5 linked regions of the Ovis aries genome follow. The protein of the gene in region 1 purifies or fractionates together with the protein of each later gene. This does not show direct contact. Links are inferred from orthologs where the notes say so. Each region holds a gene or a part of one and is shown in the gene's direction. Other genes may lie near its edges. The genes, in order: PHLPP1, USP1, WDR20, SUGT1 and USP46.

The links.
Region 2: the proteins of PHLPP1 (region 1) and USP1 purify together in Homo sapiens (affinity purification with mass spectrometry; 6 studies listed by BioGRID and IntAct, counting the BioPlex papers as one, with this or other methods). This does not show direct contact. The link is inferred for Ovis aries from reciprocal best matches to the Homo sapiens genes PHLPP1 and USP1.
Region 3: the proteins of PHLPP1 (region 1) and WDR20 purify together in Homo sapiens (affinity purification with mass spectrometry; 4 studies listed by BioGRID and IntAct, with this or other methods). This does not show direct contact. The link is inferred for Ovis aries from reciprocal best matches to the Homo sapiens genes PHLPP1 and WDR20.
Region 4: the proteins of PHLPP1 (region 1) and SUGT1 purify together in Homo sapiens (affinity purification with mass spectrometry; 5 studies listed by BioGRID and IntAct, with this or other methods). This does not show direct contact. The link is inferred for Ovis aries from reciprocal best matches to the Homo sapiens genes PHLPP1 and SUGT1.
Region 5: the proteins of PHLPP1 (region 1) and USP46 purify together in Homo sapiens (affinity purification with mass spectrometry; 7 studies listed by BioGRID and IntAct, counting the BioPlex papers as one, with this or other methods). This does not show direct contact. The link is inferred for Ovis aries from reciprocal best matches to the Homo sapiens genes PHLPP1 and USP46.

Annotation. Positions count from the first base shown.
Region 1 is NC_056076.1:61,591,319-61,596,475, forward strand, and holds the end of PHLPP1 (PH domain leucine-rich repeat-containing protein phosphatase 1), read left to right. Parts: intron 1-1,528; coding exon 1,529-2,641; 3' UTR 2,642-3,530; downstream 3,531-5,157. UniProt on the Homo sapiens protein: Protein phosphatase involved in regulation of Akt and PKC signaling.
Region 2 is NC_056054.1:37,862,567-37,869,117, forward strand, and holds the start of USP1 (ubiquitin carboxyl-terminal hydrolase 1), read left to right. Parts: upstream 1-2,427; 5' UTR 2,428-2,771; intron 2,772-4,765; 5' UTR 4,766-4,834; coding exon 4,835-5,004; intron 5,005-6,231; coding exon 6,232-6,352; intron 6,353-6,551. UniProt on the Homo sapiens protein: Negative regulator of DNA damage repair which specifically deubiquitinates monoubiquitinated FANCD2. Also involved in PCNA-mediated translesion synthesis (TLS) by deubiquitinating monoubiquitinated PCNA.
Region 3 is NC_056071.1:64,613,950-64,620,355, forward strand, and holds the start of WDR20 (WD repeat-containing protein 20), read left to right. Parts: upstream 1-2,512; 5' UTR 2,513-2,534; coding exon 2,535-2,783; intron 2,784-6,406. UniProt on the Homo sapiens protein: Regulator of deubiquitinating complexes. Activates deubiquitinating activity of complexes containing USP12. Anchors at the base of the ubiquitin-contacting loop of USP12 and remotely modulates the catalytic center of the enzyme.
Region 4 is NC_056063.1:11,522,438-11,528,777, reverse strand, and holds the start of SUGT1 (protein SGT1 homolog), read left to right. Parts: upstream 1-2,664; 5' UTR 2,665-2,790; coding exon 2,791-2,828; intron 2,829-2,922; coding exon 2,923-2,980; intron 2,981-6,340. UniProt on the Homo sapiens protein: May play a role in ubiquitination and subsequent proteasomal degradation of target proteins.
Region 5 is NC_056059.1:69,050,546-69,056,810, reverse strand, and holds the start of USP46 (ubiquitin carboxyl-terminal hydrolase 46), read left to right. Parts: upstream 1-2,070; 5' UTR 2,071-2,213; coding exon 2,214-2,249; intron 2,250-3,103; exon of another isoform or gene 3,104-3,220; intron 3,221-3,490; exon of another isoform or gene 3,491-4,770; coding exon of another isoform or gene 4,771-4,788; intron 4,789-4,937; exon of another isoform or gene 4,938-5,009; intron 5,010-6,265. UniProt on the Homo sapiens protein: Deubiquitinating enzyme that plays a role in behavior, possibly by regulating GABA action. May act by mediating the deubiquitination of GAD1/GAD67.

The DNA of each region.
Region 1 (5,157 bases):
CTCCACGGACTATAGCCCGCCAGGCTCCTCTGTCTCTGGGATTCTCCAGGAGTGGGTTGCCATTTCCTTTTCCAGTAGATCTTCCCGACCCAGGGATCAAACCCTGGTCTCCTCCCTCATTGCCAGCAGATTCTTTACCGTCTGAGCCACCAGGGACGCCCAGGGAGAAGCCGGGGACGCTGCTGAGCGTCCCACGGTGCCGGGCGGCCCCTCTGAGCCTCCACGGTGCCGGGCGGCCCCTCTGAGCCTCCACGGTGCGGGGCGGCCCCACAGCACAGTCTTTGGCCCGGAAGGTCCAAGTGCCGCTGCTGAGAAAGGCCGTCGGGCTGTGGCACCGAAGGCTGCTTGCGGCACAGCCTCCAGAACGGGCTGGAAGAGCTGGACTCTGTTCACACGCTCACCCTGCAGTGGGGGTCACCTCTGTGTGCCTGAAACGGATAGGTGCTGTCGACGTGATTCCCTTGTCTGCCCACAGGAGGTGTCCAGTCTCGCTTGTCAGTAAAGCCCGAGGAGCCGTGTGATGTCCAGGTGGACAGTGGTGGAGGTCTGCAGTCAGTAGAGAGAGACTGACTCCAGGAAGGCTCGCCCAGGGCCGTGAGGAAGACAACTCAGGACCTACCGTGGGAGTCTGGGAAAGGAGTCTTCCTCTCGACCCCAGGCCCCTCCTGTTCTGAGAGCAGAGAGGACTGAAGTGGACACTAGACGCCATGTAGGGAGCGAAGAGTCTCAGATGGGACCGAGTTACACTGTTAACTGTGCATTGAGTCCCGTGCTCAACAGCACATGGTGCAGAGATTAACCGTTTCTGCAGAAGAACTTGAAGAATCAAGAACCAAGCAGTTATACCAGGGCTCCTCGCTTCAGCCGCAGAGTAAAAGCTTTTTACTGGCAAACGGTCTGAAACTTTGGTTCATGGTTCAGATGGTGGGCACCCAGCTGGACTGAAGCGGGAGGCATCACCGTCTCCATTTGCTGCCAGCAAAGTCAGCTCAGGAATTATAGAAGCCGCCTTTCTCCTTGAATAAGTGTCTGCCTCTCCAAACACTTCACTTCTCCCTACCTAGTCTCACTGGGATCTCCCCAGCAATTTGTTTCAGCCTCCTTCAGTTTAAAACTCTGCCCGCTTCTGGACCTCCCCACACCTGCTGGTTGCTGAGCTGTGGGCAGTGGTCTCAGATGAGGGCCATCACTCTGAATGGTACCTGCCTGGGAGGGTCTGCCGCCCCCCCGGGTGGCTCAGCAGGCCCTTCCCCCGGACCCCTGTGCGTTCCCAGAGATGCTGATCAGACCGTGTTGCTGACTCAGCCAGATGACGGTGTGCTTTGGAACGGACAGGTCCCAGCACAGGGAAGGCATGAAGCGCTTTCCACGTGTCCCTCCTGCTCCCTGCCGTCCCCAGGTTCTGATGACAGGTGGCCGGGAGCCCCTCACAGGAGGCGGACAGGCAGGCCCAGGAGCTTCCCCCAGGCAGGAGCCCCGCCCCCAACTCTCGGTGGTAACGTCTGCTTGGCAACCCCTCTCTTTCCAGGACGGCAAAGTGAACGGAGTGACTGAGTCCACGCGCATCCTGGGCTACACCTTCCTGCACCCCAGCGTGGTGCCCCGCCCGCACGTGCAGTCGGTGGCCTTGAGCCCGCAGGACGAGTTCTTCATCCTGGGCAGCAAGGGGCTGTGGGACAGCCTGTCTGTGGAGGAGGCCGTGGGCGCCGTGCGCAGCGTGCCTGACGCGCTGGCCGCCGCCAAGAAGCTCTGCACCCTGGCGCAGAGCTACGGCTGCCGCGAGAGTGTGAGTGCGGTGGTCGTGCAGCTCAGCGTTCCCGAGGACAGCTTCTGCTGCTGTGAGCTGGCTGCCTTGCCGCCGCCCAGCCCCAGCGTCTTCGCGCCCGCTGCAGGCATGGCTGTCCGGGAGCGGCCGGCCGACGGGCTGGGCGCGCCCTCCTCCAGCAGCGGGCTGACCTCTGAGATGAGCAGCGAGCTGTCCACATCGGAAATGAGCAGCGAGGTGGGCTCCACGGCCTCGGACGAGCCGCCGCCACCGGGCGTGCTGGTCGAGGGCAGCCCCGCTGGCCCCGGCGAGCCCCGCTGTGCGCTGCACCCCGGGGGCGCGCCTGGCGCCTTCCAGCGGCAGCTGTCCAGCGCCACCTTCTCCAGCGCCTTCTCGGACAACGGGCTGGACAGCGACGATGAGGAGCCCATCGAGGGCGTGTTCAGCAACGGCAGCCGCGTGGAGGTGGCGGTGGACATCCACTGTGGCCGCGCCAGGGACGGGGAGCTCCGGCGGCCGCCCGCACCCGGCCCGCCGCCCGAGGCCGCCGCCGAGGGCGCGGGCGCCGCCGAGGACGAGCCGGGCGCGGCGCGGCGCGCGGACGGGGCCGCGGGGACCATGGGGCGCCGGCGGGGAAACGGCTCCGTGGCCCCCCAGGAGCGCAGCCACAATGCGATCGAGGTGGCCGCCGACGCGCCGCTGCGCAGGCCGGGCGGCTACTTCGCGGCCCCGGCGCAGCCGGACCCCGACGACCAGCTCATCATCCCCCCGGAGCTGGAAGAGGAGGTGAAGGAGATGATGAGGCAGCGGCCGCCCGCGCCGCCGCGCCCGGGCCCCGCGGAGCCGGCGGACTGCCGCTGCGACACGCCGCTCTGACGGCCCGGGGCCCGCGGCCAAAGGCGCCTCCGCGGCCAAAGGCGCCTCCGCGGCCGCAGGCGCCCCTTCTGTTGGCTGTTCAAAAAAAATAATAATTACCACTTCTCTTCAAGTGATGCTCTACCCATATGATTTCAATTTGTTAACCTCTTCCCCTAACGTATCAGATGTGTAAAGACGAAAAACAAAAGGTTTAATATATTACAGAGAAACCGTTAGCGGTAATGTAATGTTTTTTAAATGGCTTTTTTGTTCTCTGTGTGTGGAAGGCAAGGCAGGTTGCCAGGGCTAAATGACTTAGTAAGATTGTGATTCTGTGTTTCTTCCTGGGGGAGGCGTTTTCTTGTTTTCTGCTGTTCTGGGTTCCTCGCTTTGTCTTGAAGACGATAGGCGTCTGTAGAGAATGGAGACTAACTCCTAGGAGTTGTTCACTCTGCCGGGTGACTGAAGTCACTGGGAGTCACTAATTTTCTCTGAGAGAACCGTTGATTGAGAAATTTCTATTGTAAATAGCTCCATGTTGTATAGTGATGCTTCAGAAGTGGTGTAGCTTTGGCGCGAGGGACGCAGACTGAACGGCTGGCTCCCCTCCGTCCCCACACCCACACGGTCCCCCGTGGTGCGCCCGAGCCCTGCTGAGGGCACTGCCTTCAGGTGAGGGGCCCTGAGCCGCTGGAAGGGACCTGCCCCCCAGGGGCTGCTGCCCCTCTCCTCCTCCTCTCCTGTTCCCGCCCAGCCCCTTTTGCAGACACTTTTCAGCTGTGTTCCTTACCGCTGCCGCCGTCAGCATGCATGGGTGATAGATCCTTTACATACCGAGAGTTACATTAAAGCAAGATGCACAAACGCACATGTCGTAATTTTGGTATAATAAATACGGAATTTACGAGTCCTGGACCCATCTGCTTTTGTCCGGGAAGCCAGGTGTGTCTAACAGATGATCACGCGCGGCTTGGGTTTGGAATGAGCTCTGGGGTTATCTGGTGCTTCCGTCTTTGATTTTTTTCTTTTGAAGAGAAAATAACAAGTTAAACTACCTTGAATGAAGGTAGTGACATCCAGCCTGTAGTTAGCAATATGTGTAGCTGGTTTACAGCATTTCCATTTCTGGTTGTTACTGTGTAGAGGAGATATTAAAAGGGGGATAAGGTTGCATAGAGGAGATCCCAGGAAAATCCCACAAAGCCAAGTTTGTTTCCCTTTCTCTCAGGGGCCCCTCAATCATGTGAACCAGTTAATCTTTTTTTTTAATTGGATACAGTTGATCTTTTTTATATTGGAGTGTAGCTGATTAACGGTGCACAGACAAAGTGGAAATCCAGAGCTGACTGCTGCACTCCCCACCCCTCCTGGGAGCAGCGAGTGTGCTGTGGGGCCCTCGGGGGTCCCACACTCCTGCTGGCTGCCTGGCCCCACTTACAGATGGCACCGTCCCACTCTGCATCTGAGACCCGTGTGTGGGAGATGCTCTGGGTCTCCGCTGGGTCTCAAGTGGACCAGCTTTCCAGGTAGAGTGGTTTCCCTTCTTTAGGTCTGCCCTCCAGAGGGGCGCCTGGCAGGTTCAGTGACAGGACGCAGCAACTAGTCTCTCTTGTAGGCTCTGCAGCGGGCTGTCCACCGTCCACCCCTCTCTGGGCAGCCAGAGGAGTGGGCCGCTCCTTGTCTTGGTGATGTCCGCTCTTCACTCCGTGGCGGGCTCCTTGTGCGCTGTGCAAACCACTGAGGCGGTGGAAGGACTGAGCTCATCTCGGCCCCATCAGCGTGGCTTCCCAGGGCCCACCTGCCACGCAGGAGACATGGAGACCTGGGCTCCATCCCTGGGTCGGGAAGACCCCCTGGAGGAGGGCATGGCAACCCACGCCAGCGTTCTAACCTGGAGGATCCCATGGACAGAGGAGTCTGGCGGGCCACAGCCCATGGGTCACAAAGAGTCAGACATGCCTGAAGCGGGTCGACTTGGCACACACGCAGCCCCACGAGGGATCAGTGACCGAGGGTGGAACCTAGGCAGGGCTCCGCTCTAAGCCCGGAGCAAGGCCGGGTTGGAACCCTGCACCCCACCCGCTCACCAGTGCCTGCCAGTCTTCCCACTGCTCCGGGCGGATCTGAGCGGACCCGGGAGGCTCAGCGTTCTCACCTCGTGCCTCAGTCCCTCCGGAAGTTCCAGGCACGCTCTGACTCCTCGGTGTGGCACCCTCTGCGGGCGGGCTCGTCAGTCGCCTTCTGTGGCCCCCGCCCCAGACAGACTGTGTGGACCCCATCCTCCCACAGCTCACCCCCCGAGAAGCCCACTTCCGCCCTGAGCAGGGCCAGCAGAGGCACCGTGACCTGGGGGTCCCCGGAGGGGACCTCTGCAGCTGACGGGGCGGCAGCACGGGCCTGGCTGGTTCCCCAAGACCTGCAGCTCAGGGCACGCTTGCTTCTGGTTCATTATCCCAGCAAGTCCCACTGTCCACTCAGCCCACGTAAGGGTCCCTGGAGACGAAGGACAAGACTTCGCCCTTGGGGAGCGTGGG
Region 2 (6,551 bases), on another chromosome or scaffold:
AGATCAGCCCTGGGATTTCTTTGGAAGGAATACTAAAGCTGAAACTCCAGTACTTTGGCCACCTCATGCGAAGAGTTGACTCATTGGAAAAGACTCTGATGCTGGGGGGGATTGGGGGCAGGAGGAGAAGGGGACGACAGAGGATGAGATGGCTGGATGGCATCACGGACTCTATGGACGTGAGTCTGAGTGAACTCTGGGAGTTGGTGATGGACAGGGAGGCCTGGCGAGCTGCGATTCATGGGGTCGCAAAGAACTGGACACAACTGAGCAACTGAACTGAACTGAACTACAAACAAGGCTAATATTACAAAGAGTCGGACAGAACTTAGCAACTGAACAACCACCACCAACATTCTAGAAGATTTCTTAAAGTCCTGTGGATTTAAACACTATTTGGTGACTCTCAAATTTGTATCTCCTAATCACAATGCTCTATGGACCCCCAAACTTGAAATCTGTTGGCTCAGTATGACGTTTCAATCTTTATGTCTAAGAAAAACCACCCCTCCCACCACACCCACTATTACCTCAATGCTTTCCATTTTAGCCAGGACAACCACTATCCTATCACTTTGGTTTAAAAGAAACAAAAAACCACTTTGTCTTTTTCTTACTTATCAGCAGATCCCATTGGCTTTACTTCAAAATATATTCTAAATCCTACTCATTCTCAACATTTCCACTGCTACCACTTTCTAATTTATTAGATGGTGCGAATCTAATTTATTCCCTGGGTGATCTTCTACCTTGCACTTTAGAAAGTTAACAGTCTACCACCACAAGCAGCCATTTTTAGATTATCCACCTCCAAGCTCAAAAACATCAAATGGCTCCCATCTCCCTACCCTGCTTAATAAGAGTCCTGACCATGTCACTAATCTCATTTCCCAGTCATTAAAACCAGGCTAAGTGTGCTCTAAGCACCCTGCCTTCCTTGCTTCCTCCCAAAACACCAAGCACATGAACCCTGAGGACTTTTGAAACTTGCCCTTCTCCCTGCCTGGACCATTCACCCTCAGGTTCTTCCCAGGCTGGCTGCGCTTTCAGTTAGCTCTCTACTCAAATGTCAAGACTAATATTATTACCCAAAGGAGCACACTCCTTATTTCCTTGTAACTCACGTCAGGTAAAGAATGCCTGCACATACTGGGCACCTAAAAACACGCTTGGTTAAATGAATTTGGATTGTACTTATTCACTACACTTGCTTTGTGAGGTATCTCACCGAGGTAGGCGTACAACAGACAGCAGCAGAAACCCGGTAAGGCCTGCCTTGCCGTTTTTGAGCGCGTTAGTAAGGACTGGCGCAGGATCCCCTTGCAGCTCCGTCAGCCAGAGCTGGGTCTTAAGAACGCTCTTTCGTTTTCTTGTCCAGTCAGGAAGGGGAACGGGTAAGCAAGAGGAAAAAGCGCAGAGGGGCTGAAAAGGGAGTCTCAACTTTGTAGTATTCAGTTGAGAGAGAATCTACTATTATTTCCTGCGGCGCTTGTTTTTACTGGATGGCCTAGGACCTGGGGCTGCGATTTGATACAGAAAACCCAAGCGCAACGGACTAAGCAAGGTAGTCGGCCATTTTCAGAAACTAATCTCCGGGTAACTCCGCCCAGCAGTGTACGCAGGAAACGGGGGCGGAATTTATTGTGGGCCTAGCTCCGGAAACCACACCCTAGCGGGCGCCCCACCTTCGAGGATTCACGAAACTCAGAGCGAAATTTAACAGTCCGCAGCGAAAGCGCGCACTCGAGAGCCAATGAGAGTCCAAGGAAGGGAACAGCGCCTGAGGAACACTCTGTATATCAAAAAATGATTGGCTGGACTCCTCCTCTCTTCTTTTTGGTATTGGCTGAACTGCTTTTCCCCACCTACCCAGTCCGCTTTTTTGCCTAGGTACTTCTGATTGGCTCCTCCTGGGCGGCGGGTGGGCAGGGTTGGGGATTGTCATCACGGATTGGTGGATTTGAGCACCTGGCGGTTCCTTCCAGAGCAAGGAGCCCGTCCCATCTTCTCTCTGTCCCGTCTCCCGACCCGTACGCTTTCCCCCCAGCTCTCGCGCACGAATGGTTAAAAAAAAAAAAGGGCGAGGCGGGGGCGAGGGGGGGGGCGGGGTGTGTGTGTGAAGCTCGAGCGCGCCAGCCAGGCCTCTAGCTCCCAGCGCGCGCCCTCAGCGAGGACCCGCGCGAGCTGCCCGTGACGCTGCCTGCGCTGTTTGAAACTGCAGAACCCGTTAAGATCTTGGGGCAACTACCGTTCCAGCTGGTTCAGGAGTCCGGGCGTGCCAGAGGGGCGAGTGGCGGTCGCGAGGCGGCTCTGGCCTTTCGCGTCTCTGCAGCGTGGAGACTAGAACCGGCACTTTCGAAGGACGCCGCCTCCAATCGCGGCGCTGGCGCGGGCGGAGGCTAAAACACGGGGGTCCTGAGACAGAGGAAAACGCGCCAAGTTCCCGTCGGTGGTGGAGTGAGGAAGACCCTAGCGGTTCGGGCGCCCGGCTAGCGGAGCCGCTTCTGGCGCTCCTTGCCGTCCCGGGGCGGGGGCGGGCGCGGGAGGGCGCCGCTCCGGGGATGTAGTTGGTGCCCGCGCCAGGCAGGACCGAGCTGCAGCCCGGGTTCCCGCTCTTGAGAGCGAATGGTCACTTCCCCCGGGGAGGGCGATCGGGTCAGCTTTTCTGAGGGTCGGGGGCCCGGGGCAGGGGCTCACCTGTCGCACCCGCACTCAGCGGGGTTGGACTCGCCGGCGTCACCGCCGCGGACCTCGCTCTGGGCCATGACCAGGTAAGGAGGGCCCGTGGAGGAGGGGCCGGTTCCCGGGCGCCGCGTCAAGTTCGGCCGTCGCCCAAGGGGGCCGCGGGGAGGACCCCCGGCTCCTTGGGTTGCCGCGTCCCCGCCCAGCTGCCAGCCGAGCCCTCCACTCAACGGGCCGTGCCCCTTCCAGCCGGCGCTGGGGACTCCGGCAGGTGCGGGCCGGGCGTAAATAGGCCAGCTCCGCGGGCGAGGGGCCGGGCGTTATGGTTTTGCTCTCAGACGCCTCCCGCCCGGTGCCCGCCGCGTCTGACGGGCACGGACAGCAACACCGACCGTCATCGCCTCAGTTTCTCTTCCGTTCCTACAGTTTGCGGGGTGGGGACAAGAAATGTTTGCACTCACGTTGTTCTTGTCGGTGATTGCTAAATTTTACCGCGCAGTTTAACTTTTAGATGTTCTACAAGTTTTTAGAACGCCACGTGTCTTAAACCTTTGTCGAGGATGTTATCCTAGTTTTACATTTTTCGTGAAAAGTTAAGAATTGAGTTGTGCCATATTAGAGGAAAGAACCTGAAACTAATGGGACTTCGTGTTCACACTGTCATTTGGCCAAGAACATTTAATGTTCGATATATTGTGTTTTCTGCGAAACTTGATTTAGATAAACATTTTTGACGTAACTCCCAGTGATAGGACAGCCAGGAGCAAGAAGTGGTATAGCTTAAGATACGGCACCTGGTAAACTGTGACACAGTCTAGGTAGGGCTAATGTTTAATCATTGCTTTGAGGAGCCCTGAGGATTGGTTTATTGATTAGGATTGATAGTTATTTTAGCTGCTGGGTCGTTTTTTGTTGTTAAGTCCGATTACTCTCAGAGAATGCAGTTTCCATCGTTTATTAGAATTGGCTCCTAAGAACAACCTTTTACAAGAATCACAAGTTATGCTTAGGGATCCCTGACACTGTAGTGCAGGCTAGTTTACCATTAGTGATAGCATTTCATACGAATAAATTGAGTTGGAGTGTGGAAATTGGTTTGCTTTCTAGGTATTCTGAGATGTCTCAAAAAAAGGGGCATGTTTCACTGCTGAGTTTATTGTTGTAAATTCCCACCTCACAGGCAGCCAAGTGAAATGCTTAAGGGTGTGAGTTTAGTTCATCCTTTACCTATATTTGAAAGTCATTGCTGAGCTTTTGGACTCTTAACTGATTTTCTGGTAATAGATAATTATTCCTAATATCTTCCTAATGAAAAACAGGACTGAAGTGTAAAATGACTACCACAAATACAACCTTTTTTTTTTTAATCCAAGTTTTATTATAAAACAGGGAAGAAAGTTTGCACAAGGGAAGCTTTTCTTTTTTCCTACTTAAAGCAGTATTTTAATTCTGTAGTTAGAAAAAGTTTGTAAAGTCAGTATATTTCGGTTTCTAGTGCATAAGAATTTGATATACACAAAATATAGCAGTTTTTTACACCATTATCTCAACTTCGAATAGTTTATTACACAAGTTTTTAGGTGTAAACACTAGGTGTAGGCCTTTTCTTGTATGTAGATTATACTTTAAGTAGATTATTTCATATAACTAGAAGAGACTTTGGAAGAAGAACTCAAGTCACTTCTAGCACTCCTTTGATTTCCCATTCATCCTTTTTCCCACCTTGGTAAAAAAGCTCAGTGTTTTCTGGATGAACTAATAGATGATAAAGTTTTTTACCCTTTAATGATAATACTTTACCACACATCTCTTACTAAAGTGGAGTATTTTGTGATGCTCCCCTTAAATCTAATAGCAGGCTAATAAAAGTTCAGTATCATGACTTTTTGTTGTTTAAGAGTTAAGGACAAATGGCAGCTTGTTCATTTAAGCAGTAAACATTGACTGCCTCTTATTGGTGGGCATTAGATTTTCCAATACAAAGTTCTAATTAGTACCATTTCTTGGTAAATTTGTTTTCAGAAATGATTTTATTGCCTGCAGTTGGTAACTGAAAACTAATAACCTTTTCTCTGATTAACAGGTATGACTGGTGATTACAAGATCCCTGTATAAGTTAATTCCTGTCAACTGCTTGGAATTTGAGGAGAAAATGCCTGGTGTCATACCTAGTGAAAGTAATGGGCTTTCAAGAGGTAGTCCATCCAAAAAAAACAGACTTTCCTTGAAGTTTTTTCAGAAAAAGGAAACCAAGAGAGCCTTGGATTTCACAGATTCTCAAGAAAATGAAGAAAAGACTTCTGAATATAAAGGGTCTGAAATGTATGTATGTTATTTTTAGCATTTTTCTGTACTTTTAAAAATTCTGTATCAGTAAAAAAGCAGGGAACTTGGTTTGATTTCTACAATCATTCTGACCTGATAGTCCATAGAGGCACATAAAAAAACACACATTAGTGAGACAAGTCTAGCAGTATATAGTAGAAACTAGATAAAACTGCTGGTTCCCCACAGAGATCACATCACAGTTAATATTATAACTCACTGAAATTGTGTTTGTCCAGTTACACTAACTTAGAGAAGTATTTGTTGATTAAAATTATTTTTCAATTTAAACCTGATTGTAATGCAACATGTTTTAAGTAAGGGTAAAGAAATTTGTGATGGTCTTTTGGTTCGGAAGACCTGACAGTTACCTGAGATGCACTTTGTAGTCCTACCTAGTACATGAATTCTCAAACCTATAAGATATGCTTTTGATGCAATAAATCCTTCAGTGATTGAAAAGAAATCAGAACAGAATGATATTCTTTGTTTCACCAATAGTGTTCTAGTTGGAGTCTACACTTGCTCTAAATTCAGCACACAGTCACTCTGCTATATGACTAATGTATATTTGGTTCTCTGTGTAACTTCCTAGTATTGGTATTTTCCAATAATCAGTTTAGGAGATTATGTGTAAACCTCTTGTTTACCGGATTCATGCCTACAAACACCTAAAGGTATTAAGAATAATAGCCAGCAGCTGTAAAATAAATAAAAATGCTGCGAAGACTGTTTGTTAAAATGAGGTTAAAGAATTATAAACTTGAACAATTCATTTTTAAGTGGGGGACAGCTGTATAAGTATCTTCATAGACTTGGTTTCCTCTTAATCTTTTATTAACAGAATCTGACTTAGTGCAGCCTCTCCCAAATATCGTCATAATCCCAGGATTCTGTTCAGAGTTAAACTACTTGATTAAAATGTCATGTTGGCTGAACAAATCATAGTACCACTTCTGCAGTTTTCTACTTTGTAAAGTGGGATTAGCAGTCCTTTAGTGGAATTGTTTGAAGCTTGTTGGCTGTAATATTGTTAAAGTGCTTGTAATACTTTTATTCTGGATGTACAGCAGTTTTTACACCTGTAAAGATTAACTCTGTTGAAATGCCATCTGAATAAAATCCATGTACTTATCCACAACTTTTGGGAAAAGACTAAGTCTAGGGAAGTAGTATTTCCACTTTAAGATTTTACTTCGTTATCCATTTCTCTGTACTTAATAGTGATCAAGTTGTTCCTGCGGCACAGTCCTCGCCTATAAACTGTGAGAAGAGAGAAAACTTGCTACCGTTTGTGGGACTGAATAATCTCGGCAATACTTGTTATCTTAATAGTATACTTCAGGTAAGTTGACAGTTGTGCTATATCGTAAAATTTTAGAATGCAAAGAATAATGTAACAGTGTTTCCTGAGAATCTAGGTTACTGGAGGATTTCAATTGTCCATAGTGTCTTTGCCATTGATTGTAAGTGAAACATAATGGGGTAAAATAATCATGATTCTAAATTGTATGTTATAAATTTCCTTTGAGGTAAGAGAAAAT
Region 3 (6,406 bases), on another chromosome or scaffold:
GAGTACCGAGTCCTAACCACTGAACCATGAAGGATGTTTCTCAAGTGGATTCTTAAAGCCTGCAATGGCTTCCTCACTCACCCTGCTCTGGCCACACTGTCTTGCTACTCCTTGCACATGCTATGCACACTCCTGCCTTGGGTACCCTGTGGGGGCTTTTTTCTCTGCTTGGTCAGCTCTACCTAGATCTTCCCATGGTAGAGCAAAGAGCTAAGGGTGATGGCAGAAGAGTTTGATTGGAATGGAGGAGTCATGCAGAACAGAACAGTATGGATAATCAAAGTCATTGAGAGTTTTGGGGGCAAAATAATGTAATATCTAAAGCACCGTTTTAAGAAAATTAACTTAGTAGTTGTCTCTTCGAGGAAAGTTGAGAGAAAAAAAGTGAAATGAAGGAAAGGTATATTGCTAAGGAAAGCTATATTCAAGAAGCTATAATGACTCAACTTTGAAGATGTGGGTAAGATTTAGAGGCTAATGAATCTGAGACACAAATCCATGTAAAAATGCCTGGTTTGAAACCGAAAATCAGTCAGGCCCAGTTATATAAATTTGGTGTTATTTATTGAATTCAGTGTGTAGCAGGGTAAATTAAAAGAAGAAAACTATTAAAATTTTCAAAGGATTTGGATGGGACAAAGTGAACAACCTATTATTACTGTGATCACAATCAAATGTTAAATTTATATAGAATAAAACCTTAATAGAAGCCTAAGATTATAGGTATTATTGGTAATTGAAACCTGCTGTTAATTTGAGGGTTAATTTCTGCTAGCTTAGGTTTTTTTTTTTTTTTTCCTCCAAGAAGTACTATTATGCTTTCGCCCCTTGGTAACTAAGGAACACAGTTGAATCATTTTTAGACGATTCAGGATGTCACTATCCTTCAAGAAGATTATACACATTTTCAACGTAAAATAACATGGTTACAGGAAATTGGGATAAATACATGGGACGCAGAATACATTGTGGCATTTATCAAGACTTCTGATGCCTATTCGACTTTTAGCAGAAAACATAATAACATCAAAACAATTGTAACACAAAATTTTAGGTGTTTTAGGAATCCATTCTTTAAGTAGGGTTTTATTCTAGAGCTTTTCTGCCAACATGCACATCGGATACGGGATGTCAGCGTCAAACGCATTATTACATCAGTGACACCGTCTGCACTGGCATCTGCTTGCTTTGTGATACATAAAATGTTTATGATTTAAACTCCTCTTTACAACTTACCTCCCTCTACTTCTTTTGTGACCCTCCATCTATGATTTGTACTGAGGGAACAGAACATTGTTGGTGTAACAAATGTTGGCCTCGCACTCCAACTCCGCGAAGTCTATTAGAATGTTTATCACTTGAGAAACTCTCTTACTCTAATGCAATATGCTAAGAAACCCAAGGATAAAAGGGTGACGGTTTAATCCGCGTGCCTGCTTTACAATTGAGACCTACTACAGCATATCCTGGAGTAAACCATTCTGCAGATTCCACTTGAGCCTGATAAAAAAATCAAGTCTCCCATTTTCTGGAGAGCTCTTAATAAACTTCGGCGCAAGAGAAGGGAATCTTGCTTCGATTCAGTATCTGGTTCCACAAGTCATTTCCCCGACCCGGCCCGACCCCTCCCCTTTTCTCCAAACACCTGTTGGAGATACACTCAAGAAACAAGCGCGGATACAACCTGCTTTCCTGAAATTAGCCAATGCTCACCACAGATAGGTATGCAGATATTTGACTAGCAAACACAGATGCTACATATCTGTATGTCCTCTCCCCGCCAATCCGTTTAAAAAAAGGGGAAAAAAATAAATAAAGATGAAGCGGCAAGCTGAGGTCCTTCAGTACCTTGTCGGAAACGGACTCTGGGAAGCGCAGAGGGGCTTCCCGACTCGCGCATCCAGACGGTCGCGCGGGGCAGCCTAGCGGAGGCTCAGGACAGGGGGGCCCGCCCCCTGCCAGCCTCGGGGCTCCCCCGCGCCCTCCCCTGGCTCAGAACACTGAGGCTTCCGCGCTTGTTCGCGGCGCCCCACGCGCCGACCGCGACTTGCCGGCTGCCGAAGAGGCTCCCTCCTCAGCCCCTAAAGGTCTCGGGACCTCTCAGGGCAGGGCCCGAGGCAACTGAGGAGGCCGTCCCGAGTTTCCCTCCGCGCCGCCGACCGCAGCCCGGGCGCGGCTTCCGCTAGCCGGTTCAGTCCAGCCAGCCCGTCCGCCCCTCCACCCGCTCGTCGACCCCCGCACGCCCCGCACCAGAACACCTGCGCGGCTCCGAGGTCGCGCGGAGGCGGGGGGAGGAGCCTGCGGACGCCCCGTCGCGTGGAGCGCGCCAGGTGAGCACGCCTGCGCAGTCGGGCCGTAAACAAGCCCGCCCCTTCTCCTCGCCGGCCTCCGCGGGGCCAGCTCGCGGGTGGGAGGGGCCAGAAGGAAGGGGCGGGGGCGTGGGGGGAGGGAGGGAAGAGCGAGAGCCCCGGGACGGCGCCTGCGCAGTGGGCGTGATCCGGGCACTTAGGGCAGGATGAACGCTGCTTTCCAAGATGGCGACGGAGGGAGGAGGGAAGGAGATGAACGAGATTAAGACCCAATTCACCACCCGGGAAGGTCTGTACAAGCTGCTGCCGCACTCGGAGTACAGCCGGCCCAACCGGGTGCCCTTCAACTCGCAGGGCTCTAACCCTGTCCGCGTCTCCTTCGTAAACCTCAACGACCAGTCTGGCAACGGCGACCGCCTCTGCTTCAATGTGGGCCGGGAGCTCTACTTCTATATCTACAAGGGGGTCCGCAAGGTACCGACCGGGGCGCCGGCGGGACTTGGCCCCGGCGTGGGCAGAGGCCGGGGGCAGGGCGGTGACAGCGGGGGGCCGGGGTGGCCGCCGCTCTCACTTTGGAGTGGGCCGGTAACTCCACCGGAGTGCTCCTGAGGAAGGGGGGATTCGGGAGGAGGAGGGCGGCGGGGGCGGTGGCGAGGGGCCGCGGGGTGCGGGGCTCGGCCCGGGAGGCCCCCGGGAGCGTGTGGGGCCGGCTGCCGCCCCTCCGGCAGGGTCTGTCAGGTTTTGACACGGCCGGGGAGCCGGGCCTGCGAGTCCCCGGAAGAGGTGGGGTGGCCGTCTGGTCGCGGCTCGGGCCGCCTCGCCTCCCGGGGAGGGTTGCGAGTCCGGCTCTGAGTGAGAGACCAGGGGCGCCTGGGCGCAGGTCTGTAAGGCGGAACCCGGCCGGGAGGCGGAGGACTCGGTCAGAAATGGACCGGCTCGGCACCAAGGGCCGCCTCACCTGCTGCCGCACCGCCACTCACTAGGAGCCTCTTCGGCTGTTAACACTTGGCCGTTTCCAAAAAAAAGAAAAATCATCCGAGGGAGGCCGGCTGTCACTTGTCTCCGCGGAGGGAACCTTCCTCCTGAGAGATTGTTAAGGTAGGGCTCATCTTGTCCCTTACAGTATGGAAAGGGCTGAGGACCACACTTGGGAGTGGAGGAGATGTTTTCAGTGAACTGAGCTGGTTCCTAGGGATGCTGTATGAGCGTGCCCAGATCCATCCTCGTCCAACAAGTCAGACTGTATGTGCCTAGCAAGGGAGGGTATGCCTTAAAAGCTGCTTCACAAGAACCATTATTCTGGGCGGGCGATTTTAACAGTAATTCTCGCAAGCATGTAATCATCCTCTTAAAGTATCTCTTTGAAAGAAGCAACTTATTAGAACTTTTCTTTCATTGGCTACATAACTGTGTTCTCATTGAGAACTGCTTACTTTCGAGATACGCCATCTGGGAGTTGACTCTTGGAAAAATGAGGAAATTAATGCCCCTGCCGTCCCCGCCAGCACCTGGGCGTGGGAAAAGGTGTTAACAGATTAATTTATAAATGGTCAGTTAGTGTGAAAATAAATTGTATGTATTGAAGGGTGAACGTTTCCCCGGATATACTGTATCCAGAAGCAGTGGGTTTTTGCTTGGTTACAAGATCTAGGAATGTGGCAGTGGTATCTCGGTGGAGCAGGTTGTCTCATTTGTTCCAGGTGAGCCTGCCTGTTAGTGTTTGCGCTAAGTGTACTTCTGTGTTTGAGGTATCCTGTTATAAATTACTGGAGGTAAATCGCTTGACTTTGTTCTCTTGTAGAATTGGAGAAGTCTGAAGTAGTTAGTAGTCTAGGAGTTGAAGTTTTTAGTCCTGCCCTCAACTTTGTCACTGACTTGTTGGGTGACCTTTGACGAGTTACTTAACTTCCATCTGCAGCTCTTTAAAAGAGTATTTCAGTACAGCTGTTGTGATTTTTAGTGTTATGACTATAATGAACTTTAAAGGCCCGAAACATTCAGTAGATGTAAAATACAGTTCAAATAAGTGTCAAGAGCATCTGTCAAACAGGAGCGTTTATCTTAACATTGATGCAGTGACTGAAAGGATCAGCTTTTTCTCTGAAAATAAGTTTAGAATTTTAAGTTATTAAATTGATTTACAAAAAATTTTTTAAGTGCCTAAAAGCTAAATATATTAAGTTACTAGTGTAGACATTACCTTAAAAAATTTTTTTTTTCTTTTAAAGTATACTATTTCTGAAGCATTCTAGTGGCAAGCTGTATCTGTACCTGGTAGCTCTGGTTTGCATCATAAAAATAGGTCTCTTGCCTGGAAGTATCATAATGGTGCCTACTTGTAGTCCTGCTCAATGAAGGATGAATTAGGAGATCTTTTCAAAACTACACAAAAAATTATTTTAAACAAGACAAATCTTAAACATGTAAATTTGCCTTCAGCTGTGTAATTTACTTGAGCACATTAACTTTTCTGTAAAATTTCATTTTCATGTGGTAATATCTTATAGATACATTTGCATTATATGTTGGACATTTAAGCTCTTTTCTGGCCACTGTAATTTTTTTTAAAAAGCATGTCCATGAATGAGTTTGCATTTATTTTTATTTCTGAGTATAAGTGATTGTTTTTATGACTCTGTTTCTGATTTTAAAATATGGCAGATTCTTTTCCTTAATTAAAAACCTTAATTAAAGGTGGATTAAACCTTAATTTAAAAACTTCAGATTTTACTTTTTGGGGTTAGGAGTTATAAATCTGTTTTTGACATTTCGTTGTTTTGACTCTTTAAAAATTTTTTCTTTGGGGCATATAAAGTTTTACAACAGTTAATCAGATCATTTACATAATTTAGAAGATTTAAATTGGATGAATACATTCAACTTAAATCTGACTGGATCTTTTATGTTATTAAAGTATAGTTGGTTTATAGTATAATATTAGTTTCAGGTGTAAGGCGTAGTGATTCAGTATTTTTACAGATGATGCTCCATTAAAAGTATAAGATAATGGCTGTAATTCCCTGTGCCATACAGTATATTCTTGTTTCCTGTTTATTTTATGCATCGTTTGTATCTCTCATCCTGTACCCATAACTCGCTCCTTCCACCTTCCCTCTTCCCTTTGGTAACTGCTAGTTTGTTTTATCTGTGAGTCTGTTTATGTTTTACATAGATGTTTGTTTGTATTATTTTTTAGATTCCACATATAATATGTGATGTCATACAACATTTGTCTCTTTCTGACTTACGTCAACAAGTGTAATATTCCCTAGGTCCATGCACACTGCTGCAAAACTGGGTCTTTTAAAAACCTTAAATTGTGAACTCTGTACTGTCATTCCTGAAAGCAGGGGTGGAGTCCTGGAGAGAGAGAGTAGATGAGGAGGTAGTCAAAGACCTAAGCTGAGGAGTGTGATCTTGGCCTCTTGAAAACACAGGTCAGTTGCTAGAGCTGAAAGGGACCTTCAGTTTATGGAGTCTCACCCCTTTGGAGAAAGCCAAGGCTAGAGAGGATGTGCAAACTGTGAATCAGTTTTTTTTCTTGAGGTAAAGAATTCATGACAAAGAAGCACAACTGAATCTAAGCAGCTGTCTCAGTGAGAAGAGACCAATCTAGCTTTTTGGTTGCACAGATAACCGTATACTTCAAGCTTTTCAGAATTTACCCCAGCATTTTGCCCTGTGTAAGCTTATTGAATCTTGCAATCCTGTTAGGTAAATGAAGCGTCATTTCTTTTTGGAACCAAAGTTCCGAGTAGGGTTTCTTGTGTGAAAACATCTAGTTTTATAAATTTATTTTGTTGAACTAAAAATAATATGGACACTGATTTAATACTGAGGGTAAACTCATTGTTTCAGCAAAGATTTAAGCGACTACTATGATGATAATTCTACTCGGCACGGTAATGTGGGATACCCAAAGACAAGTGAGACCCTACCCTTCTCCCCAAGAATTTTCAGCTACTAGCTTTCTTTATGGCATTCTTTGGTTTCTTTTTTTAAAAAAGAGGTTTTAGGATACAGATGCCAAGGTACTGGGCTTGTTGTACCAACTCTGATTTTATGGAGATCTGTTTTAGCATAAATGAGAATGCCAC
Region 4 (6,340 bases), on another chromosome or scaffold:
AGGCAACCAAAATGTCCATTGACAGATCAATAGATAAAGAAGATGTGGTATACAGATACACAATAGAACGCTACTCAGCCATAAAAGAGAACGAAATAATGCCATTTTTTTTTTGCGGCAGTATGGACAGGTCTACATAGATTACTCTACTAAGTGAAGTCAGGCAAAGACAAATATCATATGGCATCACTTATATGTGGAATCTAAAATATGATACAAATGACCTTATTTAAAAAGCAGATACTGACAGACATAGAAAACAAACTTATGGTTACCAAAGAGGAAAGTGGAGGAGGGAAAAATAAGGAATATTTATCTATCTGAATCACCTGTGTACAACAGAAAGTAACATGACGCCATAATTAACTATATTTCAATTTTAAAAAATACTAGGATGTCAGTTTTCCCCAAATAAATTGATCTATAGATCCAATGTAAGGTCAATTAAAATCCTAGTAGAGTTTTTATAATTGTTTTTTTGGAAATTGACAGGTTCATTCTAAAATTTACAATCAAATGGAAATGTTTTATAAAATATATAAAATAATATAAATACAAGGGACTTTGACTAGCCAAGATTACCATGGCAATATTGAAAAAGTTATAGGGCTTTAAGACTTATAAAGCTACATTAATTAAGATAGTGTGGGACACGGTTAGGCAGACCAATGGCATGAGAACCTGGAAATAGACCCTCATATATCTGGTTATCTACTTTACAACAATCGTGCCATAAATATTTACTGGGGGAAAGAGCAAATGACAGTCTTTTCAGGAAATAGGTCTGGGTCAATTGGATATCCATAGAGGTGGGGGGAGGGGAATTTTGATCCTGACTTCAAACCTTTTATAAAAATGAATAAATCTGGCTGTGAAAGGTAAAAATGTAAAGCATTTAAGAAAACACAGGTAACTAATTTCACGGTTTTGAAGCAGGCAAAACCTTATGTATGACACAGAGAGAATCGATCACAAAAAAGAAAGATCAGCAAATCCAGTTTTACTTCAATTATTTCTGTTATTCTCACCACACCCTACAATCACTGACCTATTTAAGAGACATTTTGGTTCAGGGGTGAAGAATCCACCTCCCAGTGTAGGAGCCCTGGGTTCGATCCCTGGGTGGGGAAGATCCTTTGGAGAAGGCAGTGACAACCCACTCCAGCCTTGTCTGGGAAATTTCATGGACAGAGGAGACTGGACGGCTACAGTCCCTGGCGATGTAAACAGTCAAACCCCACTGAGCAGTGAGCACACATTGGCCTGCGGTACAGCAGTTGTCTCCCAACAACTGTTCTGTTCCCTTTAATCATTCTTCTATTGTTGTTGTCCAGTCGTGTGTCTTCCATAGTACAGACAGAATAACAAACAAAAATGTAAATTTAACCGTTAATGCCTTTTTCGAGTAACAATCCTATAATGGTTTAGCATCTTTAAGTGAATTCCATTCAAACTTCTCAGCGGAGTACACCTAGTCCTTATGACCTAGCATGTACCTACCTCTCCAGTCTGCTTCTAGCTTGAATTTTGGCTCTACAATTTGAGTTCACATCATCACTTTCTAACACGCATCCTATTCTGTCTGAATTGCCTTTTCCCTTTCCTTCCACTAATTAGTCTTCTTACCAGACTGAGGCTCAGTTTTACAACCTATGAGGACTCCATCCGTATACATTATATTCAGTTGTGTCCCTTCTTGCTATCACATCAATGACTACGGCCCTTTCATTTTTAGCCTTTAGAACAAAACTGGAGGGTGTTACCACCACTGAATCCCCGGACTTTTTAAGTTTAGATTTCGGATGGAGCAGATACTCCAGTTCAGTTCCTTGTTCGTCTCTATGAACGAGCGGCTCACTCCCACGCCTTCCTGCTCCCCGGCTCCCGCCGCGGTGGAGTTAGCTCTAAGTTTCTTCTGTTGGAATTGCACGGGTCGAGGGGCACTGAGGGAGGAGGGTCGGACCCGCTGAGTGGAAAGTAGAGCGGCACTGAGAAAAACTTCAGGCTCCCTTTCTCCCTTCAGCGCCTTCGGATCGAACACATTTTTCTTGTGTCTGGAAGTCAAGTGGGGAGAAAGCCTCAGCCTGTGAAGTTCTGGGGAACCGCGCGGTCCGCCCGAACCGGAATCAAAAGGCGTTAACTCCAGTCTAGCCATTGTGAGGGCAAAGCGACTCCCAGCGAGCCCGAGGCCCTCAGGGCTCCCGGCGCCAGGATCCCGGCGTCAACGGGCCACCCTCCGGAAGTGGCTCCCGGAAAAGAACACGTAGCCGAGAGCGTCACGGGTCGCGAAAGCCATGGCTGCCTCTGGGGAGCCATGATGAGAGCCATAGGGGAAAATGGAGCTCGACGTGCCGTGTGTAATTGACAAACGTACAAACGTCTCCCAAACACCACAGGTTCCTGAGGGTAACTGTATGGTCCAAGGGTCCTACTGAGTTACCGCGCGCGGAGGCTCTCGGGTAGTGCGTGCGAGCACTAGGACCGAGGGCGAGCGTGGCCCGCCGCGGCCTCCGTAACCATGGCTGCGGTGGGGCGGGGCCTGCGCGGTCGGTCAGCGGCCGGGGGGGCGGGGTCCGGAGAGTCGGTCCTCCAAGGTCCCAGCCCGCCCCGCGCCCGCGTTTCGCCTCCTCTCCCTCCTCCCTTCAGCACGCTGCGCGGCTGCTCGTTGGCTACTTAGGACGGAAGCTCGGTGGGTGATTCTCCAGAAGTTTCCCCCTTGGGCGGCGGCGGTGGCGGCGCTGGTAACCCCGGGAAGAGCGGCTCCGGCAGCGGGAACCCTGACGATTAGAGATGGCGGCGGCGGCGGCGGGCCCTGCGGCAGCCGCGAGGTGCGTGTCTTTCCTTCTCTTTGGTGTAATTGGCATCCCCCCGCCCCTTTCTTTGGTTCGTGAGCCCTTCTTGAAGTCGTTCTTTTCCTGGCAGGTTGTTCCGGAGTTTCTCAGATGCCCTCATCGAGCAGGACCCCCAGGCGGCGTTAGAGGTGAGACAGCCTTTGCCCCGGGGCAGGCGGTCGCGTCGGCTTCCTCCCGGCTCTGTCTTCCGGGGGTCGGGGCCGCTGCTTCTCCTTTGGGTCAACCTCCGATGTTGACAGCCTCCGCCCCTTCTTTTTCTGCCCCGCGGCGGCCTGGTTACATTAGATCCTTCGTCGTGTCCCCTTTCCACCCCTGGTCCCTTTATGCATCCTTGGAGCTCCGTAGCGTACGTAACCTTCTTCTGTCTTAGGGGTAGAGTTAACCTGCATCGTGGCCTTAAGGGGCTTGTGGGTTTTTTTAATGGCATTTGTGACTAGAACAAAAAGTGAAATCTCAGTTCGATGTTTGTTCATTCGGGTTTTCGTTTGGCGGTCATCCTTGATTATTTTTAAGTACCAGGTGCTGAGTGCCTGTCTGAACTCACACCACGAGGACAGAAACCTTCTCCCCTTGTGTGCCTGAAAATTTCCAGGCGTCCCTATTTCTGTTCATTATTCACTCGTTTGTTTTATTTCTCAAAACAGTTTCTTGGGGGGGGGGGCGCTGCTGTGTGGAAGGCATTGGTTGCTATGGATTAAAGTCTTAATTTATACAGTTAAATGACTTACAAAGCACTTTGTGTGCAGTGAAAGGCTATAAAGCTGTAAAGGAAACCGAAAGAGTGAGTTAAGTAATAATTTGAAGTAACACAGAGAGCCCAAGCTTATACGTGATGCAGTGGGTCTCAAAATCAGCCAGGGGTTTCTTGTTTTGAAGCTTAAAAAGAGAGGAGACTTTGTTTTGCTGTTCTAATCTAACAGATGTAAGGTTGGGGATTTGAGGCAAGAGAACCTTTCTCTTGGCTGTGATTTCTGAAAGAAGTTGACTCATGGTTAGTAGAGGAGGTGACATTTGAGAAGAGGCACGAGGGAGCGAGCTTGGAAGCCCTGCGGAAGGATTATTTCAGGCAGGAAGAGGAGCCAGTGTCAAGATCCTAAAGTAGGAGTGAAGTTGGCCTAAACAGGGAGCAGCAAGAAAGCCCAGTTTGGTTAGAGTGGGATGGACGGAGTGAGAGGAGGTGGAAAGGAAGCCGGGGCCGAATCCATCGGTGCCTTTTATCTGTAGCTTGAGCTATGTTTTTTGGGGGGTTGGGATATGAAGACCTTAAAATGAAGCGGTTGATTACTCCTGTGCTGGGATGTTTTCTAGTGATTCTTCTGGGGTCACTGTTAGAATAATGTTACCAGAGGCACTGAATTTTTCTCTACAGTTCCTTATTTCAGCTCAGTATCTGTTTTCAGAGTCTACATTTGTATGGTCCTCTTAGGCCCTGTGCCTCCTTTGGAAATCTAGTTTATATAATAGTTACTATTAAAAAATATTAATATACTGGATTCTTTGTCATTTTACATCTGACTTATTTTACATTTAAAATTATGTATTGACGTGTGGTATGTAACACAAATCTAAAGTTTCTTCCCAGCCAATAATTCCTCTTACCCATCTGTTCTGAACTCCATCACCATCAATTAGTTTTCCCTGGACTTCATACAAACAGTATCATACAGTATCAAACAGCGTCATACTTAATTGAGTGTAGCTACTCTCTCTTGCTTTAAACATTATGTGAGATACATCCATAAGTTTATGGGACGGGATAATTCTTTTTCATTGCTGTGTAGTATTTCGCTGTATTAATATAGCACTGTTTAACAGTGGACATTTGGGATATTTCTAGTTGTTAGCTAGTATGAATAAAACCGCTGTGAATTTTCTTATACATGTGTTTTGCTGAACACATGCACTCCTTTCTTTTAAGAGTGCAATTTTTTTTTTCTTTCTAGGAGTGAATTTGCATATTATAGGTGTGTGGTTAGCTTTAGTACATTTGTCCTTAAAGTGTGGTTCTTGGACCAGCAGCGTTAGCATCACTGAGGAATTCCTTAGAAATGCAAATTCTCGGATGCCCCCTCCCTCAGATTTTCTTTTTCTTTCCTCTTAGGGGGGTGGGCAGTACGTGATGTGGCATCTTAGTTCCCCAGCCAGGAATGGAACCCATACCTGCTGGAGCGGAAGTGAAGACCCCAGGGAATTCCCCGCTGCAGATTTTCTGAATGTAGTTATGGCTCCTGTAGGCTGGTACCCCTTACCCTTCCTTTTTACAGCAGGAAACAGGCCCAAGGAAATGCAGATGAGCTATCAGGCAGGTGTGGACAGCCAGGGAGAGGCAGGACAGGGGCCCGAGGACAGGAGACTCCTGCTCCCAGTCTGGTGCTGTTGTGGTTTCCACGTGTTACCCCAGACCCTCTGCAGGAGCATCACCTGGAAGTCTGTTAGAAATGTGAATTCTCAGGACCTGCCATGGACCTGAGTCCGAAACCCAGAGTCGGGAGGATGGTCATGATAAGAACCAGCCTGTGTTAAGAGGAAATGTCCTTTTTTTAATCTTGAGATGATCTTCTCACTGCGTTAAACAGGTGAATGTTAATTACTAGATAATTGGTAATAATGAGTAGGGCAGGAACCTTGATGAAAAGAGTCAGTTTCCCCTTCGCTTTCCCCAAGGGCTGGTTAAAAGTAACTGTTTTGAAATTAAGGTCACTAGATATTATAGCAGGTAAAATGTCACATTTTTATACAACACCATCCTATTAAGAATAAAGAAAAAGTGTATCAAGCTGATTACATGTTTCATTAAACAATGTATATTGGTGTAGAAGGCTGTACTGGGAGCCAGCAATCTAAAGATGAAAATACTGTAGTGAGGGAGTTTGCAGTCTAGAGGAGAGAGAGGCAAGTCAGCAGGTCATTAGAATATAAGATAAATGCTCTAGTGGAGTGGTGTATAAGGTACAGTAAAATAGAGGCCAACTGGGGAAGTAAAAAAATAAATCTTTGCAGAGGAAGTCTCAATTCAGCAGAGAGAGAAAACGTTTCTGTGGATTATAAGGATCTTTTGAGGCCCAACATGAGTGGTACTTAAGAGCACTGGCTCTGGAATCAGACTGCTTGGGTCTACCATATCTTGGTTTCAGGAAAGTTCTGGCCATCACTCTTCTTGATCAGACTTCCTGTCTGTAAAATGGGACTAACTGGGACCACTGGAAAGGATGATTATAATGACAAGTAATGTAAGGTCCAAGGGTGAGGCCCTTGAGGTAGGCATCTTGGAGAGCCTTGCTTTCTAGGTTTTCACCCCACTGGCTCTCTTTCTGTTACTCAGGTGTGTCGGACTCAGGCCTGGTGCAGGGCCTTTGGACTTGAAGCAGTTCTTTTGCCTAGAATGTCCTCTCTGTTGACTGTTTATTGTTGTGGTTAGAAATGCTTGTCACTTTAGATTTCAGCTGAAATGTCACCTCAAGGAACCTCTTTTCTGACTCCTTTATCTG
Region 5 (6,265 bases), on another chromosome or scaffold:
GTATAAAATTTCTGTATTATTTAAGGTTTTGTATTAATGCTTTTACAGTGGAATGTCTGTGAAATTTGAGTCCTAAGTTCTAGCCTTGAGGTTGCTCCTGAACTTGTTTTATGACTTTCCTCAAGTATAATATTTTAAACCTTTATAGGTCAGTTGTGGGCTTCCCAGGTGGCACGGTGGTAAAGAATCTGCCTGCCAATGCAGGAAATGCAAAAGACACGGGTTCAGTCCCTGGGTGGGGAAGATCCTCTGGAGGAGGAAATGGCAACCCACTCCAGTATTCTTACCTGGAGAATCCCATGGACAGAGGAGCTTGGAGGGCTACAGTTCATGGGGTCGCAAAAGAGTGGAATGTGATTGAGCCACTGAGCAGGCACATTCACCCAGGTGTCAGTTACCCTAACTGGCCATAGGTTGGGTGTTTTGTTTTCTTGTCTTCAAGGTGCTCAGCCAGATTAGCACCCCAGCTTCAGTTGTAACATATGGGTAACATGATGGAAATAGGATGCTTGGTATCCTAAGCTTTTTTTTAACTGACCTACAAAAGGCGATTATAATAGGATCCGTCATCCGATGGGTTTGGCGGTGACCAAGGTCATGAATGTAAAGAGCATCATGACTGACAATGGTAAAAAGTCAAAGTGAGCTACCATCATTATCAGGATCTGTTTGGAAATAAGATGTAGGCAGAATAACTTAAGCAGGAATTGATGTCTGGAAATCCATTAAATATCCAGAGCCAAGATGACCCCCAACGAAACTTTGTCTCCGTTGTCTTATTTCCATCCCAGGTCCTAGGGACATTAACAATCAATGGTCTTCAACTACTAAAGAGCATTAACACTAAATAGATAATGGAGGACAGGAAGTGAGCTATTTTCCCAGTATGTTCCTCTTGGTTAGATAAAAGCTATCTTCAATTTCATTAATTTCTCCTCTAATTCGATTTGTCATTAAATATATGGGTTTAAGAACTGTCAGGCGTTTCCCTCGTACAACTTCTCTGTTGAAAGCATAAAACTGCAACTTTGTATGAGAACTGTTTTACACCTTCGGAAATGGGCTCCTCCACTTCACAGAATGTAACTGCTAAGTGGTGTAGATTCGCGCTTTGAGTTAAAAACCACGACTGTGTATGCAGGAAATGTGTATGAGCCAATACAATGACCCTCCAAACCTGAAGAAGCTGGGTGGCCCCGAGTGAAGTAGGTTTTTCTAGAAGACGCGGAAAAGTTTGTTTTTCATTCTTTCCAGGTTCCATCGCTCCCTGGACCATCCCTAGTCCTTATCCAGTACTGAGACTTCCCCTTTGTACCTGCTGCTGTCACCCACTGCCCAAGCGCGCCTCGGCCCACGCTCCCGTCCCCTCCCGGCGCCCTCGACCCGGCAGGCCAAGGGCTCTCGGCACTGCCGTGTCCTGACCCCATTTACTTCGTGGGTCCCCGCTGGTGCCATCTAGCTGGAAACCCAGGGACAAACGAAAAGTTGGACGTAGTCACCCCTGCCCCTTGCCTCCTCCACTCGCCGGAACGTGAAAACGCGGGGCTGCTGCGGGCCGCGCGGCCAGAAAGAACAAGTGAAGACAGAAAGCGGCCGCGAGTCCCCAGCCCGCGCGCTGCGCCTTCCGGCGGCCGACACCCAGCGAGGGCTCGGTCTCGCTTCCCGGGCGGCGCCGCGGGCCGGAGCTGGGCGGAGGAGGCCGCCGGCGCGGACGGGTCCGCCCGGGGGACCGGCTGCAGCTGCGCGAGCCGGGGCCTGGCCGCGCTTTCCAGCCGGTTCGGAGTGAAGCAGGACGCCGAGAGAGAAAAAAGAGGAAAGCCGAGCCGGGGCGGCCGGCGGAGGCGGGAGGAGGAGCCGCGGGGACCCGGGCCGGGTCGGGGCCGGAGCGCGGCGGGAGCGCTCGGGGCGTGCGGGTTGCACGCGGCGCTCGGGCCGCCCCTCCTCCCGGCGCCGCCGGCCGCGGCCCAGGCTCCCTCGCTCCGCCACTCCCCGCCCCTCCGCTCTCCCGCCCGCCTCCCGCCTTCCCCGCCCTCCCCGCCTCCTCTCCTCCCTCCCGGCCTCCCTTCTCCCAGCCAAACTGAAAGCCGGACCCCAGGCCGCCTCCCCGCCGCCGCCGCCGCCGCGCCCGGCCTCCCCGCGAGCGCTCCACCATGGCCGGTCCTGTTTTCCCCTTGTAAAGATGGCGGTGCGGGATCGCTGTAACCTTTAGACTAATGACTGTCCGAAACATCGCCTCCATCTGTAATATGGTGAGTGGTCGCCGCCGCCGCCGCCTCGAGGGTCGAGCCCCAGGCGTGGGGAGGCGAAGAATGGGAAACCCGAGCTGCACGCCCGCCGAGCGGCCGGTGGGGGTGGGGGCGGCGGGGGCCGTGCGGCGCCGCCAGAAGTTCCCGGCCCCCGGGCTGGGCGGGCCGGTCGCGGCCCGGAGAGCTGTCGGGGGAGGGGCCCGGAGCCCCCCGCCCCCTTCTCGGCCCCGAGACCCGGGAGCCCGCCCGCCCGCGCGTCCCTGAGCCGCTGCGCCTCCGCCCTCGGGTTGCGGTGAAGCGTCTTGGGGGGAGGAGGTAGGCCGAACCCGGACGTCCCGGGGGACCAGGTTGGAGAAGCTGGGGTCGCGGGGGACGCCCACCATGTTCTTGCCGAAGATAAAGCCCTGCCGGACACCCTGACCGCCCTTATCTGATTTTTGAGTTCACTCTTTTAAACTGTATTTAAGATTCACTTTGCAGAGGCAGTCGGTGTGTCTGGAGAAATCTGAAATGTGATAGAGCTGTAAAAAAAAGTGCAAAATTGTGGTCAGGGAAGTGAACTTATACCTGGTTTGGGAAAGCACGGTCATTTGTTGTGGATGCCTCAGTTTCCCCATCTGTGAAAGGGGAACAAGGTCATAAGGCAGTGACATTTAAAGGTCCTGAGGATGCAGGCCGTCTGGGGGGCATGGAGGAGGTCTCCAGGGTTATCCTGCCTGTCACTGTAGACCCAAGTGTGGACCGGTGGGTGTGGACGCAGCAAGAGGACATTGCTGGGCTCTGGTGAGGACGGGGCCCACGACATCGTGATCACTTTAACTTGTATTTCTCCCATTGCTTTGCCTTCTGCAGGAACAACCTCCAGCCCTTGGGTCTCAAGGGTGCCTCCTGCTGGTACTTCCACTTGTCAGAGCCTTGGGGACCAAGGCTTGCCCCCTGGAGTGAGGCACTGCCTTCCTGTGCACGATGAGAGGGTGTGTGCTTTGCCTTGGCTGTCCAAGGACCAACCCCCCACCCCACCCCCATCCTGTCTCCCCTTCCTCCAGCTGGATGGAACACATGCTCTTTTAATACCAGTTTGGGGAAACCTCTCAAGCTAGTAACACAGGCCGCTAAAGGGAATCTGAGGAGGCTTGATTGAAAAGCCTGGGAGTAAGGTGATCTGGCTGCCCTTCCCCCATCACCCAGCTTTTCAAATCTTCTGTCCCATATTCTCCTGCAAGATTAACACATGGGAAAGGAGCATTAAGGAGCCATGTGTTACTCAGGGATGGAATCAAGACCCACTGGCGCTGGCTTCAGTTTTCAGCGCTGTTGGACGTGGCTACTGCTGTGGTGGGCAGAGCAAAAGCTGGGCCTTCCCGGGGTGACAGCTGCAAAAATACTGGCTCAGGACCAGTTAGACGTGGTGGGTGGCTCCTGGCCGGTTTCCATTTCCTCTCTTCTCCATGCGGAGACAGGCCCCCTGCTCCCTCCTGTCGAATGGCATTAATGTTGCTTGGTGCAGTGAAAAGGTGATGCCTCTCTTCCCGGTTTCTCTGTCTGCTAAGACCAGCTCCTGAGGGGAACTGTGAAACCAGAGCAACTCTAACACTCTTTCGTGCCTGCTCTGGTGGCTTTGGGCTTACAGGGCAGTGGAGCCGTCGGTGGTGGTGTTCCTGCCCTGCTTGTTTGTGGTGACACCTCTGTACTGAAGCAGGCTGGAAACTTGAGAGCTAGCGTGTGCCAAGATGAAGCCAGCCTCCAGCTTTTTTCCTTTTCTGCCCTCAGTGCAGCTGGGGCTTCTTGGCACACCTGAGCAGAATGTCACAACCTGTTTCCAACAAAACTCAGCTAGAGAGGCAAGCTGCAGGGCAGACGAGAGGAGTGGGCTGTGGAGAATTGACATCTCATGTGAAGTCCTTAAAAAGGCACCAAACTTAGGATCATCACCCAAGTGAGATGAGGAACCAATAATTCACAACTCGGGAGTTGTACATTCCGATATAGACCCTGTGCCTAGAGTAAGGGACATAAAGAGTCTGGGCTCTAAAGTCAGACTTCCTGGGTTCAGGGTTTTGGTTCGAACATATGCTAGTTTTTTGTCCCAGAACCAGTTGCTCTCCTACTTTCCTAATCTACAAGAAGGGGATGATAATGGTTCCTCCTCATGCGACTGTTGTATTAAAGGAGTTACTGAGCCTACTAGGTAGCAAGTACTTACTGAGTATCACGTGTTGCTGATCAGCTTCATCTTTCTCATTATTATGTCATCTTCAGTTGTTTAAAGGACAGTGTCTTCTTGGACCTGATGTAAGCAGCTGCTAAGATAAATGCTAAGATAAATGTTTGTTTATGCAAACCAAGCCCATACAGGGAGACTGGGGTGGGAGTCCTTAATCCCGCCCCCTTATAAAAGGCTGCTCTGGTGCCCTGGTCCCTCCCAGTCTTGCTTCCCACAGAGGAGGCTGGGTGATGAGACTGCTGTCTTTTCACTTGTTCAGACATACAGTTTCATTGGACCTCGCTTAAGATTCTTCACTCAATGATGAATTGTTTCCAGGTAGGTCTTCTGTGGGTCTCTCCTCACCACTTCTTTTCTCTCTGGGGGGCTCTAACTGATCCTTCCCAGTCCCAAACTCCATTGGGACCAAATGGAGTTGTAGTAAGAAGTGACAGTTGACAGTTGCGTCTTTTTTTTTTTTTTAAAAGCAGGTCATCTGGCATATTTTAAACAGGCTGATGTGTGTCACAGAAACAGTGATAGAAGATACATCCTTCTAGGTAAGGCTTGTGCAAACCAGGACCTAGTACTGAGTCTGGATTTGTTTCATCCAGCAGACAAGAAAGGACGCAGCAGAGCAGGAAAAACCTTGTTGCAAATCCTTGTGTGATTGAGAAATAAACACCTTCTCTTTTCCCCACACTTCTTGTGCCAGTTTTAGGTACAGGGGTCGTGGAAAATACTCCCATCCCTCTACTTGTCTTCTACCCCCGAGGTTTTATTGTCCATTGGCAGTTTAATGCGAGTTCCCGTTTGTCTTAATTTCACTTCGTGTGAATTCCTGCCATAGTGATTCTTGATCAGCTTGCTGAGGGCTTGTCACCTTAGCTACACAGCGTGTCTGCTTCAGAGATAGTAAAGCTTGTTTGGCTGGTATGTTGTAATTTTTTAAATGTATTAGCTGCTACCAAGCATGAGGAAATGTCCCTTGTTGATAGTCTTCTGATTTTGGCCAGGCTAATGGGTTTAACTTTTGTAAGTGAAAGGTTTTTGGGGGGTAGATTTTCTATTTGAAAAGCCTGAGGAATTTTCTAAAGAGGAAGCATTTGTTAGTAGAAACCAAATGTGCCCTCTAGAAATGTGACTTGTATGGATGCAGATTGGCCTAAATCATCAAATCTTAATTTCATTTGTGAATAGTGCTGTAAAATATTCCGTGAAAGGAATGCCGTGTGTCAAATAGATTACGTTTTGTGCCTGGAAATGGCCATCTGTTGAGGATCTCTGTGTTAGTGTCGGCACATATTATGTGCAGGTGTGTAATTGATCGAGGTGAGTCGCTGTCCCCAAGGAGCTCAATGGTTTCTTATCTTGTGGGCATAACATTGGTAAAGATGAAACTATCTGAATACAGTGGGTTATCCACATGGATCAAGATTGAGCAAAATCTCAGAAGCAGGACAGTAAACTGGTGATCACAGCAGGATGTTTCTTTAATTTGCATTTGATTCGAGTTTGATTCTTTTATTTTCTATGATTGTAGTCAGAAGAGCTTAGAACTGAAATCTATGCTATTGGGTGTCTCTCCAGCTAAGCTTCAGTCTAATGGTGCCATTGAACAAATTGTTGTGTTTCTTGGGACCGTAGTTTCTTTCTCAACTTGTAGAACTAATGTGTATATACATTTGGTTGTCAGAAACTTCCTTAGTGAGTAGTAGTTCTTAACTACTTTGTTTGAAACTATGTTGAATTTACCAGGTATTACCATTTCAGCATCCATTGAACAACCCCAGGATGTTATTGGGCACCACTGTGA